2 linked regions of the Caenorhabditis elegans genome follow. The protein of the gene in region 1 interacts with the protein of each later gene in a pairwise test. Each region holds a gene or a part of one and is shown on either strand. Other genes may lie near its edges. The genes, in order: Y38H6C.8 and ZK1320.2.

Region 1 (10,999 bases):
TGTTCAACTTTGTCTACACAACAAATAGAGATAGTTCGATTCGCCGCTTACAGTAACACACCTGCTCATCTAACCTCCCAAGAAAAGGGAGTTTACACGGTGTTCCAATTTTAATGTATTTCATTAAATTTTCTTCTCTTTCTGCGATTCATGTATATGATAATTTGGAGGAATGTTATTTTTAATTTTTAAACTAAATTTTTTAAAACTAAATTGGTTTTAATTTAACTGTTCCCTGTACTTGATTTTTACAATTCAAAGTAAAAACTTGCAAACCCGAAAAATTATGAGAACCACTAATTGTATGATTTGAAATTATGAACAGTCGTCTCATGTGGTATCAGAGTGTCCCCTTTCGGTTTGATCTGCGTCGATCTACAAAAAATGCGGGAGTTGAGACGCAGAGTTCTCAACTGATTTCTCATTGGTAAGAACTTGCTGACGTCATTTTTATGGGCTACAAATTTGCGCATTTTTGTAGATCAAACCGAAACGACCCCGCGTGCAGTCTGTCTAGTTGGCTCGGCTATTCATAGACCATACGGCTGGTGACCTCTTCTCTTCCCACGGGGAGGCAAACGGTACGTCCGAGAAAGTGCGCTCTACTGCTCAATGAGCATACCACTGGTGAGAGGGTATCAACAAAAAATTCATTGGTGTCATTAAATAGAGAATTTTCTGTAGAACATTTTTCATATGCATCACTTCCAAAAAATTTGAGCCGTTTTCGAGATAAATCCATTCTAAAAATGCGACTACTGTAGAAATTAGTGTATGTACGTAAAGTTTGCCTCCCCGTGTTCCCAAAGAGTTCCTTTCTTTCTCTCACACCCTCCACCCCTCTCATTCTCCCTTGGTCTCCATTTCTTGCATGTTCTTGCATATTCCCTATTCTGTCCCCAGATCGATTTGATTTTTCGCGTTTTTTATTTATTTTACTCTTATTCTTTTTAAATAATCTTTAAATTTTATTTTTTTAGTTTTAAATTATCAAAAGTGATGACCCAACGAAGAAAATCCGTAAAGGACCCGGCGTACCGAGCGGTCCGTGCAAAAAAAGGACCCACAAGATTCGAGCAATGGCCGATGCTCCCAGAAGTGGCGAAGAGAATGGTGATCGGGAATTTGAGTTTTGAGGATAGGTAAGACCTTTTTTATTTTTTTGAAAATTCGCAAAAGATTAAAGTTTTACAAAATTTATTTAAAATATCTGAAAACCCCAAATATTCGGAAATTAAAAACAAGTCTTTCAAAATCAAAGTTTCAGTTTTTTTTGGTTTCAAGAATTCGAAAGTATTCAAAAATTCCAATTTTTCTGAAATTTCACACTTCCTGGAAGATAAAAAATTCAAAAAAATACGAAAATTCTCGTAGATAAATCTTGATTGTTAATAACTAGCAAAACAAATCCTAGAAATTTAATTTTTATTGATTTCTATGTTTTCAGAAACAACATTCGTCAGTGCTCCACCGTCGAAATGAAGCTGGTCGATAAAATAGCTGATTCCTTCGACAAGCTGAGAATCTTCGAAGGTATACCAGTTTAACCTCATTTTCCAAATAAAAAAGCGTTGAAAATTCAGCGAAAAACGATGAGGAAACCAAGCAATACTTGTGCCTGTCGATAAATAGATGGAATTTCAAAGTTCTGAAGACCGACAATCTCAAAAATCGAACAGCCATCGGAGTCGGCGCTGTCACAACTTTCTGCCGAATCTTCGCGAATCCGAGAACTACTGCAAAATGTGTAGAGTTGGATTTTCCCTACAGATCAACTCACCGTAACATTATGCCAATTTTGGTCTCCGAACTTGCAAGGACTGGCGTCAAAATCCGAGCCAAGGAGCTCTGGGTCAGGAGCAATCAGGCCGCTTACAAGTGGATCGGAAAAGTCCTGAAAGCTTTTGAACCGGGGCACCTGGAAAAGATCGCAGTGGGCCGTATCTCAGGAAAGGACTACGCGGAGATTAAGAACACCGAGCAGTTCAAGGCCTGCAAACAATATATGCTCATCGCAGAAAGTAATTTTCAGTTATACAAAGGGTTTGATGGGACTTTCCAGCTGGACCTGGATGCTGTGATGCGGAGAAGCTTGAAGTTTCGATGCAAGTTCTAAGACCGGATGAAGCGTGGAAAGTGATTACAGTGAGTTTTTGAAATTTGTAGAAACTTCAAATAATTTTCTTTTCAATTTTTTGGATTTTCTAGTCAAATTCGCAAAAATCTAACCGTGGTAGAGTATGCTGATTTTCAAAGTTTGTAGTAGCCCATATAAAGCAACAATGTTATTATAGATTATTTTTTGAGCATTTAACTATAAGTATAAAAAAATAAAGTGAACAAAAAACAAAGTATTAAGAGTTACGCCATTTAAACTTCGAAATTCTTCCAGAGCTTCCGTGCAAGATCCAACTTGCCCCTCGGATCGTTCTTCAAAATCTCCACCGGCCAAGAATGGAAAATTCAAGATTTTCTCAAGGAATTCGATGTTCCGGCTGTCCATCATCCTCATCGTTATGAGTAAGCACATTAACATATTAACCTAGAGGCCAATTTTATTGAAATTGCAATTTCAGTCAACACCATTATGTTTCACACCGCCAAGCGTTCGACATGGAAGATGAGACAAAAGTATTGGTGATCACACTTTGGACGTCACACGAGCACAGCGAGCTTTGCGGAGAAATTTTCGATAGGGAGCGGTTCCGAAGCATTTATGACAACAACGATCAGTAATAATAGTTGATAGTACACAATAAATTTGTCATTGTTGTTATAATATGATACAGGCATATTGAAAAGACACGTGGTGTCAGAGTGTCTCATTTCGGTTTGATCTACGTAGATCCACAAAAATGCGGGAGTTGAGACGCATGCTTTTCAACTGATTTCGCATGGTTAAGCACGTGTTGACGTCACATTTTTTGAGAAAAAAATCACGCATTTTTTGTAGATCAAACCGTAATGGGACATCCTGGCACCACGTGAAAAGAGACTTCTAAAGCGGAAGGGCAAGTTTGTTCCTGGAACTTTTAAGAAAACTGAGGTAGAAAGCTGAGATTAAATTTAGGTCTAAGCCTAAGCCTAAAGATGAAACTTGAGCTTACGCCGTTACACTAGCCTAGCTCAATCATATGCCTGCCTTAAGTGAAACAAGGTGAGAGGCCTGAGCATAGCCCACAAGCATAAGCCTTATCCTAGTTCAACGTTGTAATCTTATTTCTAAACATGTGCCTACGCTTTAGAGAAAATGTAAAATCTGAAAACTTTAAACCAAATCAAATAACAATCTAAAATGTTTTTTTTTCGAATGTTGTTTCCATTAAACAATGTGAGGTAATTTATTAACATGAGAGGTACTTTGTTGTAATAAAAAAAACTTAAATCATCAAATCTCTAGGCACGGAGGGCATGTTGGAGAGTATGCCCCATTGGGATACTGGCACAGAAACTGGATCCTTTCATCGCACACTTGGGAAAACCACTTTCCAGTCGAAATGAGCATAGTTCCGCAGTGCCGATCTTCAAGTGGCTGTCCTGGTCCCCAATTGGAGAATCGCATTGGGCTCCCGTCAATCCAAGTCCAATTGGTGTAGTGGGCAGCGTCGCTGGCTCCGATCCAAAAAGAGTTGTAGTCGGCGTCGAGGTGGTTTACCGCCAGTTCTGGAAAAATGTTAAACATTTTTATGAAGAAGGAGGTACTCATTGGTAGCCAAGGATCGGGCAAACTATAGTCAGACTTCTGTCAAATTTCGATGCTAACTGTGGACATGGCATTAGTGATAGAAAGCGGTAAGAATCAGTTAGCAAAGCTCGTTCAAAGAAAATATCTAGCTATTTTTACATTTTCTACGCTTGGAAGTTAAAATGTTTCGATTTTCTTCATGATAGATTTTGCATGCGATGTTAATCTATCTTGATTAAGTTGCTGGAGCTAGAATATGTCTGTCTATACCATTCCTAGCTAGCTTCACCCGCCATTAGACCATGTAGTTCCCGTCTAATTTACAAATCTCACTTTGCATCCAATTGTTATCGATAATATTCGTGATTTTTACCAGACTCCCTCCAAACATCTTTACACACAAATCGTTGGCATCCTTGAACTTTCCATGAACACGGTTGAACGAGTAGCAGCTGGAACTCTCCAATTCAGTTTTCTGTCCCACAAAACTCTTTTCACTTACGAATCTCCAAATCCAACATCTCCCGGAACACAGTCCGGCGCGACAGAGCACACTAGACAGACAATGATAAATAAGCGAAGCATAATTTTGAACCTTCCTCAGCGGAGAAACTCATCTTATCAGCTTCTATTTATATGTGTTTGTAGAAACCGCGCCTCTTCCCGTAGTGATTACTTATCACAAAAATTTTAATCATCCATATTTCATAATTTCATGAGTTTTGTAACAAATTGGTGCATGAACAAGATAGTCTGGTTGTTCGAGGCATTGAAATTTCAAATTCCACCACCCTTCTTTGAATTAATTTATTCTTGATTGTCATAGCATCTCTTTTTATTATCAATCAAGAAACGATAATGTGAGATTTTTGGAAATATTGGAGAGATTCAGGTAATACGATAGTTTTCTGTATGTCAAGAGTTAATAGTGCCAGAGATCAAAACACTATCGGAAATAGTGTGGGGTTCGACGAGACGATGAGTTCACTCTTCCAAATGTAGTCCTCATCGAAGCTTCGTAAAAATAGTATAGGGAAATGAGAGTTTATTACTATGAGATAAGTTTTCAGATATATCTGTGGTTTTCACGATGAAAGAGACAATAAGAAAACAGGAGGCGAAAGATGTGAGCTCCCTCCAAATGTAGTTTTCAGGTTAGTGATAATAAAGAAAGACATCGAGAGATTATCATATATTTTTTAGTTATCTCTCACGAGAAAAGACAAGCTCTGTAGTGCAGGTTTGTAAGAGGAGAAGAAGAGCGGAGATATAGTAAGAATGGCTTGTCATGAGCAGGTTTATTAGTTAATAAAGTAATTTACAGAAAAGCAGTTTGTTGGGGGCAAACAGCGAACACGTGACAACGGGTTAAAAGTAAAGGAAAAAGGCCTCGAATGAGCGAAACCGCTCCTTTTATAGGGGAAAAGGGAGGGGGAGAGAACATTCGAGAACGATGACAATTAGAGTTGGCGCCGGCAATTCAGATCCGCGCGCCGTCCGGTGGAGCGCACTTGCAGCGTGCATTGATGAACGTTGGCAAGTCTAGTCGTTGTCTTTGGCAGCGGTTCTGGCCGGATAACCGTGATGTTACCCGCTACGGCAGCACTTGCTGGACCTGTAAGACAATAATAAATGTGGGGAATTGTACCGAGCATGGGGAGACGCGGAAACTCTTACACCTCCCCCCTTTCTTTCAGGACCGTCCCTGGTCCTCAAAAGTATAAGGTTCTTTAGGTAGGCTGTGTTAACAGGCCCTAAGAGTTTCTGCCGTCTAACCATGAGAAACTTTTATAAAACTTAGTGCTTACGTACTAATACCTTACTAGGGAATGACCAGAATAAATGGAGCGATATTCAAAAAAAAAATATTGTATCGGAAAGCTGACATTCTCTACTATAAGAATATGACTGAAATTTTTGCCCGTTCGAGCTGGAAATCTGAAATTTTTACGTCTGAAATTCTACACTGAAATCAGTGCATTTCCTATGGTTAACAGTGGATTTTTGTCTCTGGCGCCAACAGAAGTCTCACCACAATGGTGGAAGGGCGAAAACATCGGTTCGGTGGTCGAGTGGTGAACGCGTTCGCCTCTTGAGCAGAAGTTTGTGTGTTCGGTTCCCATACATGGTTTAACTTTTGGCCTTTTTTATACAAAATTTTCAGAACGGGAAACAAGTATTTAGAACATTTTTTTGAGGGTTTTACATAATTTTTTTGCTTTTTAATTGAACCATAATTACCCTGGAAACTTTTCAGAAATTTTAATTTTTTTCGAAAATTGTCACTTTTTTCTCCACCAAACCCATGAGAAAATTTGATCGAAAAATTTTTTTTTGAAATTTTTTTAAAAATGCATGAAATATTTTAGAGTGTCACAAATAACCTATTTTTCATTATTTTCAATGACCGAATCATTGATTCTGATGCCTTATCAAGACGTTTTACCAAATCGATATTGGCAAAACATCTTGTTTTTGAGGCTCCATATCTCTGCAGGAAAAAATCGCACTAAAAAGTGATCAACTAGAAACTTGTTAAACACAATGTGATCTAAAACATTTCAGTTGAACACTTTTTTGTAAAAAATTTCGTTGCCGAGTTGGAACCAATTGATTTGAGCTTCATTATTTTTGAATATTCTAAATAGTTAAAGATCTATATCTTGGCAACGAAATTTTTTACAAAAAAGTGTTCAACTGAAAAGTTTTAGATTACATTGTGTTTAACAAGTTTTCAGTTAATCACTTTTTAGTGCGATTTTTTCCTGCAGAGATATGGAGCCTCAAAAACAAGATGTTTTGCCAATATCGATTTGGTAAAACTTTATTTTAATTTTTTTTTTTCATATTATTGTTTTTATATTGGGTCAAAACGTATTTGCTCTGCTAAATAGTTAGCTGGCGCTAATTTTTAATTTTATTATTTTCGTATTTTGATAAATTTCACTGAAATTGTCCCTTTAATAGTTTACATTCTATTGGTTTTCTTTTATTCAATGTCTTTTGATATCGGAAACGTGATGTTTGCCTTGCATCGTCATTTTCCCAATCCCCTCCCATCAAATCCCTCGATTTCGAGACATGAGCAGAAGGTGGCAGATCATTTGGCAAGCATTATAAAGGAATCTTATTATGGAGATACCAGTGTGGAAGAATCCGAATATTTGGTTCAAGAAGAATATGGCGATTGGGAGCCAGAAGTTTTTGAGGTATGTTGGTTTCGACACTATTAATTGTCATTTAAAAAACCTTTCAGCCGTATGACTGTGTGTTGCCGGATCAAGATGATGTATTGTTCGGTGAGAAAGCTGTATCAAGGGAAAAGTTGGATAAAGCGATCACCTTCTACCGTAGCGGAAAAATTGGAAGTAGGCCGATAACGACTATGCACCATAGTTATCGCTGGATACGAACCGATGCTCATATGAACAAACTGCGCAAGTACGAGAAAGATAAAAAAGCGTTCCAAGAAAGCGTGCGGGTTCGTTTGGCACAGCTTACACAACGGCTTTATGAGGAGGTCAAGGAGAAACTTGATAATGGTAACGAACATTAATATAACAAGTTTTAATATAAATATTTCAGGAGTCAATTTGCATGATTCTGATTTGATGGCTATGGCACTGGAAATCAACACCCGCGAAATGAAGTTGCAAAACTTCAAAGCGTCACAATCCTGGATAACCCGATGGAAGCAAAGCCACAGGTATGTAATAAATTGCGGAGTATGTTAGATATATAGATATATAGATACATATATATATATATATATATATATATATATATATATATATATATATATATATATATATAATTTCAGAATCGTGAGTCGGAGAGTCACCAAGTTTGTCACACGGAAGTGCCTGATCAATAAAGACGCTATCAAAAAAAACGCGGATGATTTTGTCAAGAATGCCAGAACAGAGATCTCCAACTATCACCCGTCGATGGTCTTCAATTGTGACCAAACCGGAATTCAAAAGGAGCTGTATCCAGCCCGGTCTTTAGCCTTTATGGGCGAAAAAACAGTCGAGAGGTTGGCGCAATCGAAATCGTCGCTGACCCACTCGTTTACGTTTCTCCCGATGATTTTCCTCGATGGCTCAATGGGACCCAAGGCGTTTATGGTAATCGCTGAACCAAAAGGCCAGTTTCCTCCGTCTCGTCCAATTCCAAACTGCCCAAATTTGGAAGTGCGGGCTGGATACAAGACACACATCATGACGAAGCAATTGATGTGCGATTTTTTCGAAAGTTGTGTCTTCATTCCGTCTGTACCGAAAAAACTGTACATCATGCTGGACAGTTGGCCAGCGTTCAAGGACCATACAACGATCAAGAACTTGGTTCCCAATGGTCATGATGTCGTCATTCGCAACATTCCAGAGCACACAACTGGAATGATCCAACCGTTGGATGTCTATTGGAATGCGCCATGGAAGGTATGAATTTAAATCTTTATAACTTTTTGATAGTATTTTCCAGAGCTTGATCAAGAAGTTCACAGCATATGCCCTTCGAACCCAGACCGATTACGTCATCGCACAGAGGAACAACGCAATTTGCATGGTATCTGTGTTGTATCACCAGATCTCGGCAGAGCACTTCCGACCGTTTTTACAGCATTGTTGGAAGAAAGCTGGATACGTGGGTGCTGCGAATACTTCATCAACACCATTTTTGACTCCAGCTCAATATTGCATTGATCATGGTGACACAGTGATTTGCTATCACACTGGATGTAACCATCTCGGATTCATCCGATGCGCAAGATGCAAGATGTTTGTTTGTTTTAATCATTTTGTTGTGTCAAAACAACATCTTTGTTCATCTCCTTGAATAATTAATAAATTCATGATTGCATTACATTCAAGTTTCGCTATGAATAAAATTGTTTATATGAGGGGATCCATGGTTGTAGTGGTCCATGGTTAAGTTTAAATTTTAGGGGAAAAGATGTTGAATGAATCATTATGGTGTTGGTCGACACATTGATCATGCTGATATCGATCAGAAAAATTAAAATTTGGGCTTTTATATAGTTTCGAAAAAACACGTTTAAATTTTTGAAAAACTTTACGTTAGGGTGGAATTGAACCCCAGAGTCCCACCATGCTTGTCATCCACTCTATCCACTCGGCCATCTCGCTGTTGCAGGCAGTACTAATTGGGGATGGTGATAAGTAAAGCACGTCAAAACGAATAATTTCAGACGTAAAAATTTCAGATTTCCAGCCCGAACGGGCAAAAATTTCAGTCATATTCTTATAGTAGAGAATGTCAGCTTTCCGATACAATATTTTTTTTTTGAATATCGCTCCATTTATTCTGGTCATTCCCTAGTTAGTGCTCCAGCGTGGATAGGAACTTCTCTCCGGTAGTGAAGACCTTGAACCAGTAGAGACGTGATCCAAACTTTTCGTTCATGAAATCGATAATGATGCTTGGTGGCGCGGCGTTGGTCAGCTTGAGCGACGCCAGCGGTTTACGAGTATCCAACTTGGTGATCTTTCCGATGATGTGGAACCAAGCAAGTTTCTGTGGCGGGAATTTCTTTTGTCGATGAGCCAAGACTCGAGTGATGTTGCTCTGGATAGCCAGCTTCACGTCGATGAACTCCATCTCTTCTACAAAGGACGTCGGTCCTCTTGCGTAATCGGTTCCAATTGCGGCCAAAGTGACTTCTTCTCCGGCACCGGGCGCTCTATGTGAAGGCGGGGTGAGACGTCTCTTCGTGTTGAGAAGGGCTTCGGCGAGATCCTTGAGGACTCCTTCGTGGACCTCTTTAAGTCGCTCCGAAATAAGCATCTTTGGATTTGCTGGATCAGCAGGAGTATTCGTTTCATTTAAAATTTGCTCGACGGCGACTTGGACCGGCTGGGCACTGGGTCCCGGCCGATTGTCCAAGCCTTGCGTGCCGAAGAGCTCTCGATCGTTTTCGTCTAGCCATGTGGGTGGATGACGATGCATTCTCTGGAAATAGAATATTACGCTTTACAAAAACGCACGAAAACCATGACAAGACAATAAAAATTAAAATTTTAGTGCCTTTTAGCAAAATTTTAGTCTTTTTACCAAAATTTTAGTGACTTTAGGAAAATTTTACGTTTCTTACGCAAAAACTTCTTTTTATAGGTGTTTTTACCTCAAAACTTGATTAGTTTACGCGAAATTCATAGGAAATTGATCTAAATCCTGAAATTTAGAGAAAATTTGCGAAATTTCGCTAAAACAAACGAAAATGCAGCGACCTCGTGTTTCGAAATTCAAATCGATGGCGTTCTGTAGTTGTTGCTGCGAGACCTCTGGGTTCCAAAAAGACATGCGCCTTTGAGAAAAGAGCGCTTCGAGACCTCTGGGTTCCAAAAGACATGTGCCTTTAAGGAAGTATGGTCAAAATCGACATTTTATTCGAAAAATGTCTCTGAAAAGTCATTAGAAGCGATTTTTGCACCAAAAACTGGGAATTTTGTCAAACACATCGTGGAAATTTGATCGAAATGACAGTAATTTACTTCTTTCAGCAAAATACTCGGATTTATGAGCTGCACTCGTGATTGAATAAGACTTTTAGATTTTTGTTTTGGATTGGATTGAATGAAAGGTTAATGACTAAGCTCGGATCAGGGACCGGGCTTCTTATCCGTCAACGACGCCAGCGTTGACGGTGTCAGAAACACAAAATTAAATCATACCTTCTGATGTGGCCCGATGAGCATCGTTGCCCACCTGATTGACTTCCGAGTCGACGTCCTTCTCGATCGGGATTGACATGGAGCATGCGGCAATGCTTGACATGATGATCGCCGGTGTGCTTGAACCTTCCGCGAATTGCGAATCGACCATCAGCAAGACGTCTTCTCGCTGGATTAACTGAGCCACGGAGCACTGATTATCGACTCGTTTTCCGTGACTTCTTCTACGTCCCATTGGCAGAGTGTCATCTCCAATGTGGAATTGATTTTCCTTGTAGTTGAACGCAAACGGAGGAAGCTTCGACAAAATGTCATTTCCAAAGATGAACGAGTAGCTTCTGTCGGCCTCTGGAGTGCATCTTCCTTCGGTGAAATGGACCAAGTGTTCGATCAACTTTTTCCCGATCCGAAATGTGACCGATGCGACTCCAGCTAACTTCACAGCATTTCCTCCGAGTCCAACGGTGTTGATGCGCTTTGAGCTTTTGAGCTGTGAGATTCCCAGAATCTTGCACACACTCCGCGATGCCAGGGTGATGTGAGCTCCAGTGTCGATGAGAGCTGACTGCGGCATTCCATTAGCACGAATTGGCACTTGAGCGGTGATGAAACCATGACG
Region 2 (10,585 bases), on another chromosome or scaffold:
ATCAATTCATCCTATCACAATTAGAGCAATCTGAGCACCAAGCACTGACAAGCTCCACCACTTTTCATAAATTCACTCATATCAACTTCTTCGACACGTTTTCCACGAGCCGACAGATAATCCTTGGTTGCTTGAGAGACACCGATTGGGGAGATTACGGTATCACGAATAGTGATGGCGTTGCACACGAAAGCATTTGCTTCAGCTTCGGAGACAGCAATCGAGTTTGGAAGACGACGGAGGATCTGCACACAAAAAGTTTTTTAACTAGGGATTTCAAAAAAAAACTCACCTCCTTATTGGTTGCCTCAGAGAATGCAGGTGGGTAGTAGAGGGCGCTGGTCTCATCAACTGGAGCAAAACAAGTGTCCAAGTGATAAAAGTTTGGAAGAATCATATCACAGAGAACAATATCAAAAGTCCCGAGTGCCTTGATTTTCTCGTAGACAGACTTTGAACTACGCTCTCCATAACCAGCCCAAAGAGTTTTACGGTCAGAAAATACAGCATCTCCTCCGCCTTCGAAGATCTGAAATTTTATGTTTCAAAATGGAGAACAAAAATTCTCTGGCAAATTTATACCTCTTCATATCCTTCCCCAATAGTTTTGATATTGTTCTTCTTGAACCATTCCAAGTAGAGTGGTTGCTCACCGCTTCTGTAAAAACATAAAATGTTTCACACACAATTTCCTTTATTCTTTTTTCAAACTCACCTTTCCTTATGCCTGAATCTGGACAAGTAAACCTGATCATCATAGACCAATCCACTATTACAAACGAAAACTTGATCTGGAAGACCCTCTGTTTGCTCCATTGTCAAAACTGGAACACCAGCGTTTTCGATTGCAGATTTCAAAGAATTCCATTGCTGATGAGCTTTTTGCTTGTCAACAACTCCTCCCATCCATGGATTGATTGTGTATTCGACTGTGAAATGCTTTGGTGGAACCATCAACACTCTCTTCAGAATATGGGCAGCAGATTTTGCAGCAGACATTGTTTCAGACTGAAAATTCAATTGTTTAATTAGTTTTCAAAATCATTTTAACTCAAAAAGTAAAACCAGTGTTTCTAATTTCCAAACTGACAATTAAATAGGTCCAAACTCACATCAGACATTATTATATAGCAGGTTCAATATCAAATAACTATTGTTAATAGTCTACTCGAAATTGAAATGATGCACCGAGCTAACTAGTATCTTATCAGTTTTTATATTGATACGATTTGTTATCAAATATTGGTATAAAGGTGTTAGCAGCTAGTCTGCAAAAAGTTCAAACTTTCAAAAATTATAACACCTGACAAAAAATTTAAATTTTCAAACAATTTTTAGTCGTAACTTTAGAAATTTAACAAATATTCAAGGAGGAAGTTGAATGTTAAACTAGATAGTTCAAAAAGTAGAACCAAAAACGCGCGAGAAAATAAAAATAAAAGAATAACAATGTACACCCGTGGTCATTTTATTATCCTCCCTCCTTCTTCCCCGAACCCTTGTAAATCTTTCAATATGTCTTGATGGCCTTATTACGTCACAATACATATTGTGATTGCAGATCTTGATTGATAAAAATTCCAAATGAATTATGATCACAGGAAAAATGTTTTCTCGGTGTCAGGTGCCAGGTGTCAGGTGCAGGTACTCAAAAGACACCGGCAAATGAATTCCAAAGGTTTGTGCTTTGAAAAGCTCCAAAGATCCTTGCTATGCAAAATATGTCAATGGAAAAAGAAAATAAACATTTTTAAAAGAAAGCTTTTATGAAAATTCCATGTAAAAAACGCGAATTGGGACTTTCCAGGTATCCAGAAAAGCTTTAATTTTTGAAAGGTTAAGAAATTGATATACGCGTTTTCCAAATATCCAAGGTATTCTTGTAGTTTCCCCAATGCATCATTCAAACCAAGAGAGCTAGACGCAGAGAAACCAGATTGTCTGTCATCTCTGCGTATCTTTTTCCCGATACAAGCTACAGTGTAGTCTCACGGTGTGGAACAAGTCACCACGTTGCTTTACTTCTCTAGAACTATTATTTTCCCACGTTATTTTTGCATCTATCTTCATTTCCCACTTTCTTATCACTGCAAACCGAACATAGATCACAGTTCGTTGTCTCGAAAACTTATAAAACCACACGGTTGTTTGTGCAATTTTTATTTAATTTTTTAAACGGGTTCTCAAAGAAAAATTGCAGAAAATATAACTTTGATCTACTTTATCGTTCCCGCGAATATTTTTCAAAACATCTTTTCCAAATCTACACTCAACTTACGGATTTTTGTCTTGCAGATTTCCGTTCGCCGTGCCCAAAAATTCGAATTAATTTTGGAAAATGCCAAAACTTCCACGTATCGACTTTTATTTTGACGTGATTTCTCCGTACAGTTATATTGCTTTTGAGGTTGGTTTTTTTTATATACGATATTACATAAAAAACTGTGGTTGTACGCATGTGTCGATGGTTCTCTTATCCTAGGAAGTCAGGAATTTTTTTTGAACAGTGTTACGGTACAATAATATTTTTTAGTTTTAAAATTCGTAAATTTATTATAGTTATAGAAATTATGCAATGATAAATTGCAGGTCTTCCAAAAACTGGAAACCCAATGGAAAGGAGTAACAATCCGTTACATTCCATTTTTCCTCGGAGCCGTCATGAAAGAATCAGGAAATCGTCCTCCAGCAATGCTCCCAGCTCGATCAATTATGATGATGACTGATTTGAAGCGAACTGCAAAGTTCTGGGATATTCCATTGACTCCACCACCATTGTTCATGGAATGGATCAAAAAGTACCGTACTACTGGAGCAATGAAGGTTTTGTTGGTTTTGCAGGAGCAGGATAAGGAGCTGATGCTCCGAGCAGCTCGGGAAATGTGGGTCAGATTGTGGTCTCGAAGTGAGAAGATTTTTGAGGATCAAGACTTTGTGGAAGTATTGAAGGCAGTTGGTGTTAAGAATCCGGAGCAAATTGTGGAAAAGAGCAAGGATGAGAAATATATAAAGATTTTGATGGAGAATACGAATAAGGGAGTTGATTTGATGGTAAGTTATTCATCTTTGAATTAAAAAAAATTGGCAATTTTACTTTTTCAGGCATATGGTGCTCCATGGATCAATGTGCACACAGAAGATGGATCGGAGCATTCATTCTTTGGATCAGACCGTTTCCATTTGATTGCCGACCTTCTTCAACAGCCACAACCGCTTCCAGACCGACTTTTTGGCCAGAAATCAAAACTTTAAATATTTGTTGTAAGATAAGATGCGCTAAATATATGAATAAATTGGGTAAATATTTTTAATTAACTCTCTCTGAAACAGTCTGACAATCGACATAATCATAGATTCAAAAACTACAAAGAAAAATTCCAAAAAGATTTGAATCTAAAATCTTTTAGTTGGCTGCACTCTAGGTTACTTTTCAATTTTACGAACTGTAAAATATTCCAGAAAATTAATTATATGTTCAAAGTTTTATTCAAATTACATCTGCACTGTTAGTTGTGGGAAAAACCCAAAAAATCACAAATCAGTTGGCCTTGATCAATCCGGCGAACACTTGATACAAACCCCAGGTTCCATCCGGCATTTGCTGAAAGTAGAAAAGCTTTATCTACTTTAGATAATAAAAGTGTACCTTTTGGGCAAACTTCTCGCAGTAGTTCATATCTTGCTTGACATTGTCGGTTCCAATGACGCTTGGTGGAACTCCCATCTTAAATGGATAGGGTTAAAGTTCGGATTTGAATTTTTGGATTTTATCAGCAGTGAGCCAATTCTGATTCTGATATGACTTACATCATAGATGACATAAGCCCATCCTGGCTTATTGATATAGAAGTTGAGAGCCTCTGACATGGTTTCGATGTCATTGTAAGTCTTAACAACCGTATCGATTGTTGCAGAAACAGTGTCGTCGATGCAGAAATCTGAAAACAAATGAATTTCAGGTTTACTCTAGAAAAAGAGGAGCTCACTGAAATCATCATCATCGCGCTTGGTTGGAGTGCCGCTGATCAGCTCAGCATGAACCTTGACTCCAGATTTACGGGTGTAGTGACGGCGAACATTGTAGGTTGCTGAAATATATGAAAATGAGTTAGATAAAGTTCCACATATTTTATTTCAATTATATTTTTCAAAACTAGGAAGTGGCTTTCAATATTTTTTGAACGCTAACTTACGAACTGCAGTTGACTGATTGGCAAATTGGAAACGTGCAGCAACCTTGACGGATTTGCGGTCAGCACAGTGAGTGATGCACCAATTTGGTCTGAAAAGTAGAAATGGATTTTTTCATCTGGATTTGAATAATTAAATTTAAAATTATTGATTAAAAGGATAAAACAATTCTAGATCAGACACTCTGACTTTACATGAATTCTTAATTTAATCTTGAAAAGGAATATACTAACCTCACAAAATCCAATCCAGAGGATCGGAAATCTTGAATTGGAACTGCATCCTGTGTGGATTCATCTCCAACTGGAGTATAATTGCACAAATTTCCTCCTGGAGCAGAAGTTTGTTGAGCAAAAATTGCTGGAACTGCTAAGCAGGCAAGGAGAAGAAGCTTCATTTTCCTAAAAACTCTCGATAAAAATGAAAAGGAAACTATACTCAAAAACGTTTCAAAGCGAGTAGCAAATGGTCAAATTATCGGAAGTTATCAGTTAAAAACTGAAATTTTCCACATCACCGGCCTCCTCTTTTGCCAGTTGAATGTGTTGATAACGGAAAATAAAGAGTGGAAAATTAAATATTGAAAAATCACTAATGATTTCATTTTGAGAATAATAAGAATCAAATATTCAATGTAAAACTTTAAATAGTTAAATCGTTTATTAAAAATTAAAAGAAAAAAATCAATTAGCCTTGATAAGTCCTGCGAATACTTGATATGTCATGTAGGTTCCATCCGGCATTTGCTGAAAAATTTGTAAAATTTGGTGAGGTCTAATTTCTAATTCGGATACTTGCAGGTCTGGTTTTGTTGCATTTTACAACATTTTCTGAGTACTTACCTTGTTAGAAGACTTCTCACAGTAGTTCATATCGTGTTTGACATTGTCAGTCTCAATGATGCTTGGTGGTACTCCCATCTGAATATATGTATTCAAGTAGAAATAGTAGACACCTATATATTTTCCAAAAAAAAACTTGTGTAACTTACATCGTAAATAATATACGCCCATCCTGGCTTGTTGATATAGAAGTTGAGGGCTTCTGACATGGTTTCGATGTCATTGTAGGTGTTGACAATAGTATCAATCTGGGCCGACACAGCATCGTCCATACAGAAGTCTGAAATTTTGACATGTATTTATACCATAAGATGAAATCACTTACTAAAAGGATCATCGTCACGCTTGGTCGGGTTTCCGCTGATCAGCTCAGCATGAACCTTCATTCCTGAATAACGGGTGAAAGTACGGCGAACTTTGTAGGTTGCTGAAAATTCCCATTAAATTCTAGGATGTTTACTGGTATTTTCATAATGTTCCAAATGTTTTTACATGTACTTTAGTGTACTGATCTATGTTAACTTACGGACTGCAGTTGACTGATTGGCAAATTGGAAGCGAACAGCAGCTTTGACAGATTTGCGGTCAGCACAGTGGGTGATGCACCAATTTGGTCTGAAACTTTTTAAATTAAGATATTCGGCTATTTATGTGGTTCAAAAATTGGTAATCGTTTAGTATCCCACTGTTGCCAAAGTATTTTTCTGGGTCTAACTAGTAAGACCATCAAGAGTTGGCTCAACATAACTTGGCCGCGGCCTAAACCAATCATTACTAAAGCTGTTCCAATTTTTGAACATAAACTGACCTAACGAAATCTAATCCAGACGTTCTGAAGTCCTGAATAGGAACAGCCTTTTGGTTTGATTCATCTCCTTGTGGAGGATAAGTACACAAATTTCCACCTGGAGCAGACGTCTGTTGAGCTAAGATTGCAGGAACTGCCAAACAAGCAATAAGAAGAAACTTCATTCTCCTGAAAATATAAATATATGCTTCAAAAAATTTAAGTAGCAAATGGTCAAATTAGTATGAATTGTGGAGAGAGTTATCAGTCTAAAACTGACGTTTTTTAAATTATGAGCGTTTTCTTTTGACATTCAGTTATAGTGATAAGAATATTAAATAGAAAAATGGGAAAGCACTAATGATATCACTGGAAAAGTTAAAGGACAAGTTGTTTACAGATAAGTTTATGAGCATTGATTCCGGGGAGCCAGCAGCTTAACAAAACTGATTTCTTGATCCAATATTGCTCACAATCAGATGATTCAAAAGTTTATGCGAGTAAAATTAGTAGAAATACCAAATTAGTCTGATATGTTTTTCAAAATTGTTCTTCAATTAAAGGATAGACGAGTTTCTCAGAAAATAGGCTGAACATTTTCAGACTCTAAAAAGCAAGAAAGTTTTATTTGAAAGCTTTTTCGATGACTAAAATACAAACAAAGAGGGTCGAAAATTATTGAGTTCATATCCTTTGCTTCAAATGCATCCAAACAGTTTCCGGTTGAGTCGTGGCTCTTCCAACTAATTTCAATGGGATTTCTGTCTTGGTGCCAACTTCAAATGTATATTTTCTAAGAATATGAGCCAAGAGCATCTTTTCCTCCATATAAGCCAATCGCATTCCAACGCACTGACGAGGTCCTAATCCGAATGAAATATATCCTCCTTTTTGGAAAACTTGGTCACAGTTGGGGTCAAGCCATCTGAAATAATAACTAGTAGGATCTCTTACTAAATAATTTAAAAGGTGGAATACTCTCCAAAGTGATTCGCTTTTTAAAACTTTCAAAAATTAAGCCAATAATACATCTGAATATATTTTTTAATTTTGAAAAAAAAACCTTTCTGGCTTGAACTCCTTCGCATCATCTCCCCAAATCTTTGTATCAGTATGAAGACTCCAAGTATCTACTTGAACCATTGTTCCAACTTCAACTTCTACATTTCCCAATTTAGTGGCTCTCATGCATCTCCGAGAGTTCGCCCTGGAATAATTGTTTTTTTATGTGAAGTATAAATTTAAAACTCCTACATTGTTCCCAAAGGGTACAAACGTAAAGTCTCTTTGATAATACAATCCATGTATTTTAGTTTTGAGAGATGATCAAATGAAATTGATGGTTCTATGCATTCTCGTTCTATTTCTTCTTGTAATTTCTTTTGAACTTCTGGATGTGTTGCTAGGAGAAATGTAGTATAGGATAAGGATAGAGCAGTTGTATCGAAGCCAGCAATCAAAAAAACGAGACACTGACCGACTATTTCTTGAGTTGTTAGTTGACGGTTTCCCTGCAATTTTTTAAATTCAGGAATAATTTTTCTCCTGAAACTCACATAGCTACTAGTCTTTGAAAAATCCCCATTATTCTCTTGAAAATGCTCCACATCATCTGCTCTTGCTTCCAAAAATAAATCGATAAAATCCTGTGGCTCTCCGATTTCAATTCCATTTTTTCTATCATTCTCCCTCTGATCTATACGATTTTGAACGGCTGTCACAACAGTTTTGTTGACGTGAATGAAATTGGCTGCTCCCAACAATGGAAATTTCAACATAAAAAATCGAAAAACTTGAGCAAGAGTAGGAAAAACTCCACCGATGAGGGGAATATGCTTTCGATTATCTCCGAATATCTGGAAATATATGTTGAATTTCACTGGTAATAGTACCAAAACGAACCGCTCTGACAAACTTCAAAAGTGGATTTTTGAACATTTGCGAGTCGGTCTGACCCATTGCAATTCGTCCTATAGTATCCATTGTGAACTCTTGGTAGAATCTGTAATTTAAAATTTAAATTACTTTTCCAATACATCGAAAACTCACTGTAACATATCAATTTGTTGTCCCTCCGAAGTTTGTTCTTCAATATGTCTCAATAATTCCATCGCACTGTCTTCCACAGTTACATTGATTTTTCTCAAACTGTTATTCGAAAAAGTAGGACTAGATATAGCTCTGAGCCTTTTCCATCTAAATCCTTGAGCCGAGAACAAGTTAGTTCTCTCGTCTTTTTCCGGATCACCTTGAATTGGATTCAGTTTTCTACCATAGAAGTTGTCATACTGCTCAACAAAAATTTGACGAACAATGTCGATATCAGAAACAATTAGAGTTTTAATGGTTCCTTCAGTGTATCCATATATTGGACCATAAAGTTTTGTCCAATCTCTGATTTGTAAGTATTGAGGATATTCTGATTTGAGAGTTTTTGGAAAACTTCCAACTAATGGATAACCTAGAGGTCCAGGGATACCACGCCGTCTCCAATATGTCCATATCCAGAGGTAGTAACTTAAATAAATATATTTAGCTTTGAGAAATAAATAAAAAATACCTGATAAAACCAATGAACAAAGTTGGAATAGCAAGTAAAATAACACTCATTTAGTTGTATTTTCTTGTAAACGAAGTCTGTATATTTTAAACAAATATTTCCAAAAATAAAATTTGTTTTTATATTTACAAGAAATCGGACACAAAAACGGCAACTATCTGACACACTTTTTGTGTCTCCGTCTCGACGATTTTGTGACTCCTTGCGCAGAATCAGTGAGTAATTGGATTACAATGATGATATCAAGACCACTAACTCTAGTCTATCCTGTAGCCAGTTTCTGGAGTTTGGTCTGCAGATTTGAAGAAATCACCGATTAACTTAATTTAGTTTAGCAACTCTGGAAGTAACATTGCCAGGCATTTTTGTGGGCAAGGCTTTGTGTCATATTGCGCAAGAAAGTCAAATCTAGTGGAAACCAGAAAAAATCAAGTATTTTTGATAAAATAACAAGCACATCTTACAATAAGTCAGCAAATTTTCAAACGTACTTTCATATGTATATAAAAATGTGGTTGAAATGACTAGATATTAATGTATTCCTAACCCGAAAGTTTTACCTAACCCTGCTGTTGATATTTAACACAAATTGTGCTCTGATCTGTTTCAATTATTTGATTAACTTTGCTATTTTGTTATGATAGATGGCCAATAACCAACTTTTTGTTATTCATTCACGAGATCTAGTCAGACATTTATATAGACATGTCTCACTATCATATGGTACAGGAATGTATAGACAGGAAAAACTTAAACTCAAAAAGATAACATTTATTAGAATTGCCGATGAACGAATAATTAAAATACATAGTATCTATATGTTGATCACCCAACAGATCCCATCGATGGTACCGAACTTTTAGGCCTCGTGTGGAACATCATCATACCCGAAGCTCCACCACTGCCCATTGAAGCTGTACTTTGCTTAGCTAGACTTCCGGAAGACGTAATTGAATTAGGATCTTTGGATATAGAAGCCATTCGACCTCCACTGGGAGGTCTTGGAGCACCTCCTCCGCCCATTCCCATCATTGCGAGGCTTGCAGCACCAGCGCCACCCTGAGAGGTATCCACGTCACTGAGAATTCCGATCATTTTCAAGTTGGCAATGATGGATTCTTGTGATTCTCGTGTTGCAATGACCTTGACTTTGGACTCTTTATGCAGATTTCTGGCTTTTCGACAGAGAATGAAGTTTCCGAAATAGTCGATTCGGAGATTTTTGTTGTTAGCGATTAGTGATAATGGGTAAACAATTGGAAGAAAGCATCGAGCATTGATGTACATCATATCAAGCGTGGAATCTTCTGAAAGAAGTTTAGTTTTCAGACTATTCTGATCTTTATTTCATATTAAACTCACCTAGATTTATAAATCTCTTGACAATTACATGCAAGATGAAGTCGGCCAAACAAGCGATGTACAGCATGATGTAGGAATTTTTGAAAAACGTCATTTGTCCACTGAGATTTTGGATCTAAAATTGATGTCAAATGTAAAACTAGAATATAAATCCTCAAAAAACTCACTTTCTGGTCATTTCTCATTCCACCGAGTAGGCAGGCACGAGTGTGAGAACCTTTTGCCGATTTGAACATGAGAACCGAGATCTGAAATTCAAAATAATAATTATAATATGTTTATTTAAGTTTTGTTGAAATTGCGTCACATGCGTGAGACTTTTTCTAAGGGAACTAAACATAGGATTTTTATTTTCTGTTGAATATATAAACTAGCCAAAACAGGATACTTACTATAATACATGGCAAAAACAATATTCCGTGATAGAAGTCGTAGTATACATTCGCGATGAGTGAACTTTTGATTGAAATTTCATCATTTGAAGATTGAAGAACTTCAAGTCCAGCAGCTTCTTTGAGTTGATCATCACTATTCAAATAGATTCCTCGAATAATCATCTCCATAATTACGGAGACCACTACTTCGATGACCTATAAAAGGTATTTAGTATTTGTATTTAATATTTATTGTAATAAAAATATTGATACCCACCCGGAAAACTGCCACATATCGAAACTTGGGACTTTCTCGAATCGTTGGACTCCGATTGTACGTTATCCGTTCAACAGTTGTCCAAAACACAGTGAGTGCTGGAATAGCACGGCTGACTGATAGAGTTGTCGAGAAGAAGGCTTCGGATTTTGTCGTGCGATTCACGTTGGCACCCCACATTGCAGCTGGAAA

The links.
Region 2: the proteins of Y38H6C.8 (region 1) and ZK1320.2 interact in a two-hybrid assay, tested with the Caenorhabditis elegans proteins (one large-scale study listed by BioGRID).

The regions. Positions count from the first base shown.
Region 1 is NC_003283.11:20,508,037-20,519,035, reverse strand, and holds Y38H6C.8 (C-type lectin domain-containing protein), read right to left. Parts: upstream 5,076-10,999; 5' UTR 4,271-5,075; coding exon 4,188-4,270; intron 4,138-4,187; coding exon 4,019-4,137; intron 3,664-4,018; coding exon 3,389-3,663; 3' UTR 3,304-3,388; downstream 1-3,303.
Region 2 is NC_003280.10:9,654,411-9,664,995, forward strand, and holds ZK1320.2 (uncharacterized protein), read right to left. Parts: upstream 4,593-10,585; 5' UTR 4,589-4,592; coding exon 4,425-4,588; intron 4,283-4,424; coding exon 4,194-4,282; intron 4,089-4,193; coding exon 3,987-4,088; intron 3,939-3,986; coding exon 3,808-3,938; intron 3,725-3,807; coding exon 3,647-3,724; intron 3,602-3,646; coding exon 3,539-3,601; 3' UTR 3,472-3,538; downstream 1-3,471. Other genes in the region: ZK1307.1 (Amidinotransferase), read right to left, coding at 21-245, 293-529, 583-658, 716-1,008, 1,113-1,121; gstk-1 (Glutathione S-transferase kappa 1), read left to right, coding at 2,339-2,407, 2,590-3,051, 3,103-3,252; ZK1320.3 (uncharacterized protein), read right to left, coding at 4,875-4,937, 5,034-5,111, 5,183-5,313, 5,359-5,460, 5,560-5,648, 5,842-6,005; cyp-13A10 (Putative cytochrome P450 CYP13A10), read right to left, coding at 6,505-6,745, 6,884-7,027, 7,075-7,331, 7,377-7,676, 7,723-7,822, 7,870-8,337, 8,381-8,430; ZK1320.5 (uncharacterized protein), read right to left, coding at 9,206-9,687, 9,743-9,857, 9,910-9,990, 10,135-10,332, 10,394-10,578.